Linked DNA regions of Lepisosteus oculatus. The protein of the gene in region 1 binds, or shares a complex with, the protein of each later gene. Links are inferred from orthologs where the notes say so. Each region holds a gene or a part of one and is shown in the gene's direction. Other genes may lie near its edges.

What was found.
Region 2: the proteins of polr1c (region 1) and polr1b are in contact, whole or in part, in a cryo-EM structure (PDB 7OBA), measured with the Homo sapiens proteins. The link is inferred for Lepisosteus oculatus from reciprocal best matches to the Homo sapiens genes POLR1C and POLR1B. Residues at the interface, in NP_976035.1 of Homo sapiens: Ala70, Asn74, Arg77, Arg78, Leu81, Ala82, Gln102, Asp103, Glu104, Ile105, His108, Leu112, Lys220, Asp221, His222, Ala223, Thr230, Ser232, Tyr233, Arg234, Leu235, Asp281, Thr282, Phe283, Ser284, Glu286, Arg289, Arg301; in NP_061887.2 of Homo sapiens: Arg713, Gln715, Lys761, Ala762, Glu765, Arg766, Gly767, His770, Tyr774, Gly816, Val848, Arg872, Pro874, Glu900, Asp901, Phe904, Glu906, Gly908, Lys967, Gly970, Tyr971, Asn972, Phe973, Tyr974, Arg978, Tyr980, Ser981, Gly982, Ile983, Ser984.
Region 3: polr1c (region 1) and polr2h share a complex: the UniProt entries of both Homo sapiens proteins name them as parts of the pol I pre-initiation complex. The link is inferred for Lepisosteus oculatus from reciprocal best matches to the Homo sapiens genes POLR1C and POLR2H.

The regions. Positions count from the first base shown.
Region 1 is NC_090712.1:17,543,666-17,547,416, reverse strand, and holds the start of polr1c (DNA-directed RNA polymerases I and III subunit RPAC1), read left to right. Parts: upstream 1-1,257; 5' UTR 1,258-1,792; intron 1,793-2,064; 5' UTR 2,065-2,073; coding exon 2,074-2,193; intron 2,194-2,464; coding exon 2,465-2,536; intron 2,537-2,652; coding exon 2,653-2,760; intron 2,761-3,254; coding exon 3,255-3,387; intron 3,388-3,500; coding exon 3,501-3,620; intron 3,621-3,751. Other genes in the region: protein YIPF3, read right to left, coding at 846-917. UniProt on the Homo sapiens protein: DNA-dependent RNA polymerase catalyzes the transcription of DNA into RNA using the four ribonucleoside triphosphates as substrates.
Region 2 is NC_090712.1:16,003,941-16,007,691, forward strand, and holds the start of polr1b (DNA-directed RNA polymerase I subunit RPA2), read left to right. Parts: upstream 1-938; 5' UTR 939-964; coding exon 965-1,141; intron 1,142-2,050; coding exon 2,051-2,218; intron 2,219-2,599; coding exon 2,600-2,746; intron 2,747-2,838; coding exon 2,839-2,971; intron 2,972-3,616; coding exon 3,617-3,751. UniProt on the Homo sapiens protein: Catalytic core component of RNA polymerase I (Pol I), a DNA-dependent RNA polymerase which synthesizes ribosomal RNA precursors using the four ribonucleoside triphosphates as substrates.
Region 3 is NC_090708.1:19,016,499-19,020,249, reverse strand, and holds the start of polr2h (DNA-directed RNA polymerases I, II, and III subunit RPABC3), read left to right. Parts: upstream 1-1,292; 5' UTR 1,293-1,475; intron 1,476-3,064; 5' UTR 3,065-3,071; coding exon 3,072-3,144; intron 3,145-3,361; coding exon 3,362-3,445; intron 3,446-3,751. UniProt on the Homo sapiens protein: DNA-dependent RNA polymerase catalyzes the transcription of DNA into RNA using the four ribonucleoside triphosphates as substrates.

The DNA.
Region 1 (3,751 bases):
AGCCTGTCCTCTCTGGACAGCCAGGTCCGCCTGTATCCACTTTCTATGTCCAGGCTGTGGCCACTGAGCCTGTCCTCTCTGGACAGCCAGGTCTGCCTGTATCCACTTTCTATGTCCAGGCTGTGGCCTCTGAGCCTGTCCTCTCTGGACAGCCAGGTCTGCCTGTATCCACTTTCTATGTCCAGGCTGTGGCCACTGAGTCTGTACATGTGTACTCCTACAGCAATCCAATTTGTGTTGTGTTTCTCAATATCTTACCACATTACTGGGCGGAGCTACCCAGGAGCTACAGCAGACGTGCTGGAGCTGAAAATTGCAGGACATTTGGCATTTTATTGAGCTACCAGCACTTTCACCTAAAACTGGACTGTTCTCCAAATATCAAGCCATTCATGAAACTGTTCACAAAAGGCATCGATTAAAGCGAATACAAAAACTGAGTCCGTTTCAAAACAACCGAAACAACACCTATTATCCACAAGGCAGCAAATTCTAAACACACAACAATCTCAAGACACTGGTGAAAACGTCTCCACCTTGTGAAAACAAAAGGATAGGAAGACTTACAGGAATGTAGAAAACGTCAGCAAAAAACAACAACAACAACAACAACAACAACAACAACAACAAAAGCTGATGAAAGGGTAGTGGTGACTGGAATTTATTTTTAATCGTTTTGTTACGATATTCGGCGACGCTTTTTGTTCATCGCTGGTACAGACGATTGTTTTTTTTGTCTTAACTAACGCTGGCTGCGCTAGTAGAAAGAAGGAGCGGTGTTTTAACTAGAAGGGACGGTATTATCTCCGAAGTGTCAGGAGAGAGAGAGAGTCGCTCTTGTTTACCTGAATCAGGTTGTCATCGAAGCTGCCCCAAGCCTCGCTGTTGGTGCTCTTATTTCCTCCCGGCGCGGACATCTTCGGACACGCAGGACTGTCACTCTTGCGGGGACGGAGCCCTTATATGCTAAGACTGAATATGCTCGCACAAAGGCAGGAGAAAAGTCGCTCGGCGAGACCCCCAGCTCGGCGCCGCTGCTCGCTCTCGGCCACCAGGAAGCACACCCAGGCCTGGAGACGTGGAGCTCGCGGGACCTCTCGCGAGACGCGAACGTGACTTCAGCTCTTGTTTCGTGTGTGTGTGTTTGCACAGGAACAAGTGAAGGTTTATTCCCGGGCTGGAAAGAGAAGAAAAGAAACGCAACGTTTCGGATGTGGGGCCTTCTTCTCCTTGACGCCGGAAGAAGGCTCCACAGCCGAAACGTTGTGTTTCTTTTCTTCTCTTTACAGCATGGGATTGTTCCTTTGCGACCTACTTGAACTATCTTTTTTTTTTTTTGTATTGGTGCTTGCAAGAGGTCCGGCAGTTTCCCCTGAAATATAGGCAAAATCTGCTTCTTTTTTCCGCTTTATTTCATATAAATGAACAGCGCTGAGCTATGCATCAGAACGAAAAGTGTCAGGCGCGCTATCTACAGTTTTTAGCTCCAAATCAAGAGCAATAGGCATGTTCTTACACAAAGAGTTGTGGGAGTGTGGACACCAGCTACCCAGCCACGCTGTCGAAGCCCTTATCCTCCCTTCTTTAAAGAAACATCTAGACGAGCTCCAGTAGAGTTCGATTAGCTACTATTAACAAAAAATAGCTAGACAGATTAAACAGCCGCCTTTTATATGCCTTAATTATCTTAATTATTGCAGGCGATAGTGCATGACCGCCGTGGAACGCACGCGTCCACTAACAACATCTTCCAGCAGCAGCCTTAGTTTTTCCCGGGAGCTCTCCCATCCAGGTACTGACCAGGCTCACAGCTAAGACCTCCTGCTTAGTTTCAGTGGGTTCGTTGCCAGGTGTGAGTTGCAGGGTTCCTGGCATGAGCTCGACCATGAAGGAAATAAAACATACTAGGGTACTGTGAGTTACAATAATATAATATATAATTGCAATACTGATTCTTTTTTTAAGAATTTAGTGTCAGTTAAATAAAAGTAAAGTTTATCATTAAATAACGGAACTGCATTGTCAGGAGTTCTCAACTTGACAGTTATATTTTTTATTGCAAAGCACAGCTCGATGAGCGGAAATGACGTTGAAGAACAGGAAAATCAACAGTGTGCAGAAATGGCGGCGCCCAGGAGCAACGTGGAAGAGATTCGCGATCGTGTGATTCTGGGCGAGTTTGGGGTCCGAAATGTGAGTGCTTGTTTCTAGGTGGTGGAGAGATGCTGGTTCCTCATAGGCTATGAGATAGTACAAATAAAAACGTATTATTATTGTCGTAAGAAAGTTTGTTGTGTCATGTGTACAATTCTATGCCGACGACAGTTAAGTAACCGCTTTTCCAGATACGCACACTGTTTATGAGGCAGACTCGTTTACAATTTCTCTCTTACAATGTAAAGCGTGTTGTAAAATACATAACTTGTTTTGGGATAAGGGGTAATTAAATGTCTTTTCTTCAAAGGTTCATACGACAGACTTCCCTGGTAATTATCCCGGGTACGATGACACCTGGAACCGGAAAAAATTTGAAGAGGTAAAGATAAAACTCGGCTGTAATCTTTGCTGTCAGTAGCTGTTGCTCATGGAAGAGGTTCCCTGCGCTTTTGTTTATCATGTGTTTCAAGCAACGCGAGTATTTTTATTTTACAGAAGTTTAGAATCGACGTGATTCGAATGGATGAAAATACGCTGGAGTTCGACATGGTGGGCATTGACGCTGCTATCGCTAATGCATTCCGTCGAATCTTACTAGCAGAGGTAAATATCGCCCGAAAATAACAGGCTCTCAATTAAAAAAAAATAAAATAAAATGTGTACTATTATAATTTTTCCTATTCTACGTATATCTTTTTAGCTGGTAAATTCTACTTAAGTCTATTTTCTTTTTGAATTGTGTGGACCAATGACTGTTGAATATTCCTTAGCTTGTATGATGTACTTACAGGAAAATAAAAAGTAATATTAAAATAAAACCTTAAGGTGACCGTAGCTGCAAATTTAAATGCACACTTCATGGTGGCTCAAGATAGTTTCGTGAAAACCTGTTTCAGGCTGTGGGTGTTGTTGCAGAGTGCTTATTTTCAGTTATCTGAAAAAACCTGACCCATTGCTTGGAATAGCCCAGGCTTAATTCTGTAATTAAGACTGACACCTGAAGAAGGCTCCACGGCCGAAACGTTGTGTTCTCTTTCTTCTTTTTTTCAGCATGGAATAAACCTATTACTTAATTCTGTAATGCTGTCTTTGCTAAGGTTCCCACGATGGCTATAGAGAAAGTGTTTGTGTACAACAACACATCCATTGTCCAGGATGAGATTCTGGCACATCGACTGGGACTGATCCCCATCAAAGCAGACCCTCGTCTTTTTGAGTACCGGAATGCAGGTGAGCAGAATCATCGTTGGCCTCTGTAGTGGAAGTTACAGCCGTCTCTCAGTACAAGCTGCATTTTATCCTGAGAGAAATGATGTGGAAACTGTTTTCATATGTTTGCACAGGGGATGAAGAAGGCACAGATATTGACACAATTCAACTGCAACTAAAGATCAAGTGCACCAGAAATCCAAGAGCTAGCAAAGATTCCTCTGATCCCAGTGAACTCTACATTAACCACATGGGTATGTTTTGTTATTTACATCTGGACTCTTGAGTCAAGAGCATGGAGTAGCTGGAAAGAAGAGATAACTGCAACATGCCCTTAACTGAGGAAGGAAGCATTGGTTAGCAGCTCCTAATGTGCTATAACTAA
Region 2 (3,751 bases), about 1.5 Mb from region 1:
GGGGGGGGTAATGACATGATTGTGACAAATTGAAACATCTTTTGAGATAGGATCTTTTATATTTCATATGTGTTGAGAGCACACGTTTTTGCCCTCCACCGTTGTTCCAGTACTGTGTCCTAACCATGCTTACTGCAGTATCAGTGCCTGTCTCAGGTTTGATGGAATATAAAAAGAGAACTGGGAGTTATTATGCAATGATATGCAATGTGGCCAGCTTCTTGCACAGTTACAATAAAGTTACAGGTATAAATAAAATGATATGCCTTGTATATATTGTAGATGGATTTTTCTCTTCAGCTCACTGACAACATCTCTGCAGGGGGACTTAAACAAACAAACCTCTGGTAGGATTACAGTCACATACTACATTATACACGTGTTAGCAAAGCTCATATCACGTTCATAATCACATGACTTCAAACATACAAAGGAACAAGTAATAGTTTATTCCATGCTTAAAAAAGAAGAAGAAAACACAACGTTTCGGCAGTGGAGCCTTCTTCAGATGTGACGTGTGCATTTTCTTTCTTCTCTTTTCAGCGTGGAATAAACCTATTACTTGTTCCTTTGCAGCCTACGCTTGCTGACGCAGCTGCCCACCATGACTTCAAACATGACAAACAACGCCTAGTTGCGCTCCCAACCTTTAAACATGATGCTCCGGCGCTTGTCGCTCGTTGGACCTCTCTAAAGGTATTCAGTTTCATACAGTACGTTCATACAGCAAGGTCCATATGAACCCATTGCAGTTTTATTCTCAGATAAAGTCTAAATCCCGAAGCACACATTCTCATACTAGAGAACCGCGGGTGTCTAAGGGACCTAAGGAGATACGAGCTATGCTATAGCTCCCCGAGCAAACAGCCCTTTGGAGGACCAACAGCAACAGCAAGAGCAAACCGATCGAATCTGAGTCAAGGAAACTCTGTGGTGCTTCCGGCTGCTTCCGCTGCCATTAAATATGGAGTCCACGTTAGGACGGGGTGGTCCGTGCTCCGGTCCGAGTCTGAAGAACTTGACTGAACCGGGTTTCGGAATTCCTAAAAATGAGCAGCATCCAGCTGTGCAAGAGCTTTGCCGAGCGCACATTGATTCGTTTGATCAAGCGGTCACCGACGGGCTTTGTCGTGTTGTGCAGGTTGGTGTCTGTTAGTTTCCCGTACTCCAGGTTCACGTGTTTACAGAGCTGAGTATCCCACGTGGGGCGGGCTTGTGCAAGAATGCAGTTATTTTGTTAAAAATACCACTATACAATTTAACAAACTGGTAAAGGTGTGGGCAGATGCGAGCCAGTAGCGTCATAGTCCTAAAACAATACGTTTCTGACTTACTTTTCAGGTGCTTAAAGTAAGTAGTGAATTATTTCAAGAGCTGAACAGCAATGACTGGGCAGGGTTGATAGTATTTTAATATTCCTCATTTGTGCAAAACAGTAAAATAATAGGTTGTTTATTATTAATTATAATATTACTGCTTTTCTGGACACTCCACTCACAGCGATTTGCAGGTAATGGGGACTCCCCATCACCACCAGCGATGTGTAGCCCACATCTGGATAATGCGACGGCAGCCAAAGTGCGCCAGTACTCTCACCACACATCAGCTATCAGTGGGGAGGAGAGCAGAGTGATGAAGCCAGTTCAGAGATGGGGATGATTAGCAAGCTATGACAGGTAAAGTCAGGGGGGGAATTTGGCCAGGATACTGTCCAAAATCCCTACTCTTTTCAAGAAATGCCCTGGGATTTTTAATGACCACAGAGAGTCAGGACTTCGGTTTTACATTTAATCCAAAGGACGTCACCGTATAGTGACACAGTAGAGTGTCCCCATCACTGTTCAGGGGCATTAGGCCCACACAGACTGCAGGGTGAGCGCCCCCTACTGGTCCCGCTATCATCTCTTCCATCAGCAACCTTAGCTTTCATTAAGCTTTGCTTTGTGTTTAACAAAGCACGTTTCGTCAGACTTCACCAAAAAAAAAAACAGCCTTGTGCATCCAGGTGGTGTTTTTATTATGTGTTTCTGATTTCCTTTTTCTTTTTTAGGCCATCCCGCCACTGGAGTTCATGTTTAAGAATGATCGTATTACCCTGGCATTTGAGGAGGTCACAATCAGCAACCCGGTGGTCACTAAGGGAACGATCTGTCGTGACCTGAGAGTTTTCCCTGCAGAATGTAGGGGTAGGCGCACCACCTACAGAGGGAAATTAGTAGTAAGTGTCACCTTGACTTGCTCTTAAAAATCACGCACATAAGGAAAAGCAATTCGTATCTCATAAAGGTGTTTTACTGTCCTTTGTAAACTTAACATAACTACGGTGAAAATTGCATTTTTCGACAACTTAACTACAAGTTAGACAACTGTAACGGCTAATTTCACTCCTCATTGCATTTAGTTAATTGATTGAACTTGTATGCAGCTGGTTCAAAATATATGGTTTTATAATAGATAATAATAATAGTTATCTTAACCATGGTGTGTTATGTGAGAGCAAACATACATAATTGCTAAAATGTTCAGTATTGAATTTATAGTAGCGATAATCAGTCAATTTTGATGATATTTACTTTTTTCTTTTGCTTTGTGTTTCAAGGCAGGTGTCAGCTGGTCAGTGAATGGCATTCCCAAAGGGATTATCAAGCAGTCTCTCGGTTGGGTGCCAATCATGGTGAAGTCCAAGCTCTGCAATTTGCACGGTCTGTCTCCAAAAGAGCTCATTGCACATCATGAGGAAGCAGAGGTTGTGAATTGCTTTATGGACATGTGAACATCTTTTGCTGCATGATCCGTTCCTTCGGTTCAGTTTCTAACATCGCCTTCTGTGTGTGACAGGAAATGGGAGGGTATTTTATCATCAATGGAATTGAGAAGGTAATTCGACTGCTGATCATGCCCAGGAGGAACTTCCCTATTGCAATGGTGAGGCCTAAATGGAAGAGCAGGGGCCAAGGTTACACACAGTACGGTAAGATTCACATGTCTGAATTTCCCAATTAGACCGTGAAAACCTTTTATTTCAAACATTTTATTTATTTTGTGTAAATGGCACAAGAGACTAGCAATTAGCACAATATGCAAGGACAGCAGACACAGAAGACTGAAGAAAAGGGGTAAAGGAAATAAATGTCATTTTGGCCACTGCAGTGTGTTCGTGGACTTCACCACAATAGCATAGATAGTCTTTTTAAAATGTTTTAATCCTTCATTGCTGATAGGAACAATTGTTCCGTGGCACAGTGATACAGGGTGAAATTTTAGGGAGCTGTCAGTGTTGCAGACAGAGGCAGAATAGGATGTCACATGTTTTCTGTAGTGTGGGATAGTGGTGCAGTGTTCAGCATTGGCGCTTCGTAGCGCTGGGGTTTAACTCTGGACCTGGGATGCTACCTGTGTGGTGCTATCAAGAAAATTGGCCCTGGTGTGAGTGTACATTTTTGTCTGTTTTTGCCCTATGAAGGAGTGGCATCCTGTCCAGGGTGTATCCTACCTTGTGCCTATTGCTTGCTGGGATAGGCTCTACTGCGACCATGAATTGGAAAAAGCAGTTGGAAAATGGATGGATGTTTTTTGTAACTTGAATTTAACATTTTGACATGTTTTCTCCCTTCAGGTGTTTCAATACGCTGTGTAAAGGAGGAACACACAGCTATTAACATGAATCTACACTATCTGGACAATGGAACGGTGATGGTGAACTTCATCTACCAGAAGGAGCTCTTCTTCATTCCTCTGGGATTTGCCTTAA
Region 3 (3,751 bases), on another chromosome or scaffold:
GCGTATTTGTTACACTTATTTATCCAGGTGGATGCTGCACATTGGTCGTGGTGGAGGGGAGTCCCCCATTACCTGTAAAGCGCTTTGAGTGGAGTGTCCAGAAAAGCGCTATATAAGTGTAAGCAATTATTAATTAAACAGTGTTTTTTAATATTACTAATGCAGTAGTCAAAATAAATTATTAATAATAACAGCAATTTATTTTGTCTGCTGCTTTTTTCCCAGGCTATTAAAATTAACCGCACAAACATTTTACGTGGTGAAATAAATTGAACCTTTGATGCTCACAAATGTGCTCACATTATGTAATGACAACAAATAAATATTGCTTTTTCAAAAGCAATCATCTCAGATTGCATTCACAAACATTCACATCAATCCAGAATATCAAACAATGCTTAGGCACTTCATGGAACTTGGAAATCTTTACAGCTACAATAACAAGATTTTGGTTTAAAACTAAGAACAAAATAAAGGAGTAATAATTATCAAAGTAGTCTAAATTAAATTACTTCCAGATTTTTTACAATCTTGCGTTAAAATAAATCACGTGTCATTAACATTACACATATTTTGTTAGTTTTTTTAATTGCTTTAATTGTCCGGACATAATGTGCAAATAATCAGAGTATCGTACAGTATCGTCTTCAATCACATTTGCTTCACTTCTCGCCTGCCGTACATATACGCATCACCGTCTCCATGGACACGGTGCTCGAATTTTTATTTATTTATGCTTAACAAAAGAACAAAAATTACAATACAAACAAGAGTACATATGTCAATTCAAAACAAGAATATCGTCAGGGGTACATACTACTACATAAAATTCAAGTTATGAAAAAAGATTAAACAAATTAAATACAATTAATGCCAGCACCGCTTTCATATTTTTGCATTTCGAAATAGTCTGCAAATACCCCTTTACTTCCATTTTAAAATACTCAAACACAGGGTATCTCCCAGACCATTTCATTTTATGTATGTGATAACGTGCCAGTATAATAATTAAATTTATTACAAACGAAATTTTATATTGTTTTCACTGGGGCTGAAACTTAACATAATATCTTTTTCAACAAAAGAAATATCAATATTGGTCTCTTTTTTAATATAATTCTGCAACTTAGTCCAGAACATTTTTACCCTGGGACATAACCAAAACAAATGCTGAATAGTTTCAGGGCTATTGTCACAAAAAACACATTTGTCATCTATATTAATTTTAAATCTCGGTACTCGAAATTGAAACATCCGTTCTGTTGGTCCATGATTCCGGAAGTAGTAAGTGTGACGTTCAGACTGAGGGTCAGAGGTTGGAGGTTGAGCATGCTGTGAATCCGCGCGTTGCGATTCTGTACTGATGAATTAGAAGTTTTCGCAGACAAAAAAAACTTGGATTGATTTATTTGTTAGACTGCCAACTGGTGTGAATTAAACAGCTTATTGTGGCTCGTAGCACCGAGGGAGACAGAGTAAGTGCAACTGTTTTCATTGAATCGAGTGAAGTAGTAATTGAGTAGTCTCTATAACTCAATAGTTGTTCATGTTCATTCAATCATGTTATTAACGCGCGTTAAAAGTCTGTACGTAATATCCGATTCGCTTCTCCGATAGCGGTTTGCTCGGAGGACGGACTCTGTATCTAGAATCTGTAGTTTGATCTTGTTTTGCCTTAGTTCCAGGATGCAACTGATATGAGCCACCTTCTCCTCGATCTTGTTAACAGGCTGAAATACTGACAGAAGTGAAACGGTATTCATTTATGTATTTGTGTAAGAACAGGAAGAAAAGATAACGAAAATAGCAGGTCAGCTGGTGGTCATTTTTCTTATACACTAAGATAGGGCTGCACAAGCTGCGACCTTTGCAATTCACTCCAATTACATCCTTTGACACCATCTCCATAATTGTTATATCGTCAATTCAGTACTTAAGCAGTGTGTTGTAGACAAATTGTACAGTGAGGAGGAATTGAAGGGCTGCGCAGTGACCAGCTCTGAATTAAGTGCTTTTGTTTCAAAGGCCTAGGTTAGCCTGTTAGGATTACAGAAATTGTTTAAAAATTAAGTAGTTTAATGCTCACCAATGACTGTGGAACCACTAGTCAGTTGTGAACATTCAGCACTGATAATCTCCCAGTGGTCCTGTCTTCAGAATTCAGCATCCTTGTAGCCCATTCCAAACTTGAGGAAGGTGTGTAAAGAATGTTTTCTAGTACAGTTCTTTCTAAGCCAGGCATCACATGAACCCCTGTGCCCATTTGACTTTTATCCGGGTTCCAGTTGTTTCCCCCTGTTCTGTTCACTGAGCGTTACAGGAAATAGCTGTTGGGATGGATGCATTTTGCATGTGTATAGCAGGGACATTTCCAATGGAACACACTGAATCTGCAAAATTGTTAGGGATAGTACTTTCTAGATTGAATTGCTGTAGACAGTCAGTGTGTTATGCTTCTCTGACATCCAAAAGTCATTAACCCTACTTTGTAATATAACTGTACTTGTAGGCCTAGTTGTTTCTGTATTTTGTTAATACATTACACGGGTCATTCCACATGAAACCAATCAAGAAAGACAATTTAGTTCACCTTTGATTTCAGTTGTATTTTGCATGTATTCGTGTTGGGTGAAATGGTTACAATGGAAGTATTAGGTATGAGTGATGTGCTGTTCACTTTACATAGTCAAGGCTACCTCTGTTATTGGCACAGAAACAGGATTTTGGTGTCATTTTAAAACTCTGCGGTGGGCCTGTTTCATAATGTCTTAAAATGTACAAAAAAGATTGATTCTGTAACTTTTGACCTCACTCTCTAAGTAATCTTGGATTTGTTTCAGTTTTTGGTATACTGTAGCTTGGATTTGTACAGGTTTTGCACACTCATAAGTAGCAGATCTTTATGGTTTGTAAAAAGAGTGTATCTTTGTTGTAAAGCATGTAGTTATGCCCACTGCCTTGTATAGTTTATAGAATGTCACTGTGCCACACGGGGTGGAGAGGATAATATCACTGTGCTGTGCTCTCCAATTTGTACTTTTCTAAATCACCACTGTGTCACCAGGTGGGACATGTCGGGAATCCTGTTTGAGGACATATTCGATGTGAAGGACATTGACCCAGATGGGAAGAAATTTGACAGAGGTGAGAAAGACTGATTGGGGTGAGGTACGGTGTCCCATATGGAGAGTCTGAAAGGCAGATGACGCTAAACTTGCTTCTGTATTTGTGGAGCAGCAGACCTTTGAGGTCTCCTTGGTTAAAAACATCAGCAGATTCAATAAATTAAAAACAGGGCTGGCGTGACTGTGTTTGTTTCTGAAAGAGGCAGTTTTCACAAGTGCTGTTGTCTTCTTCTCAGTGTCTCGATTGCACTGTGAGAGCGAGTCCTTCAAGATGGACCTCATCCTGGACGTCAACATCCAGATCTACCCCGTGGACCTCGGTGAGGCGCACTGACACTCTGACACACTCGGGGAGGGTGGAGCAGCTGTATATCGCAGTACATTGATATTGACTTAGAGAATGAAACAACATTGGGGTGGGAATTGCTTACTTACCCAGGAGAAATGGAGAGAATCAGAAATGTCTCCTTTGGTCTGTAATCTAGTATAAATAAAAAGTAAAGTACAGATGTGATTCAGGGCACAATGGGTGTTCTGTAATTTTGAGGTGGGCATTATCTGTTTAAATCCCCTGTCGTCTGAGCACACCTTTATTTTTTCCTTTTCTCTCATCCCTGCTCTTTCAC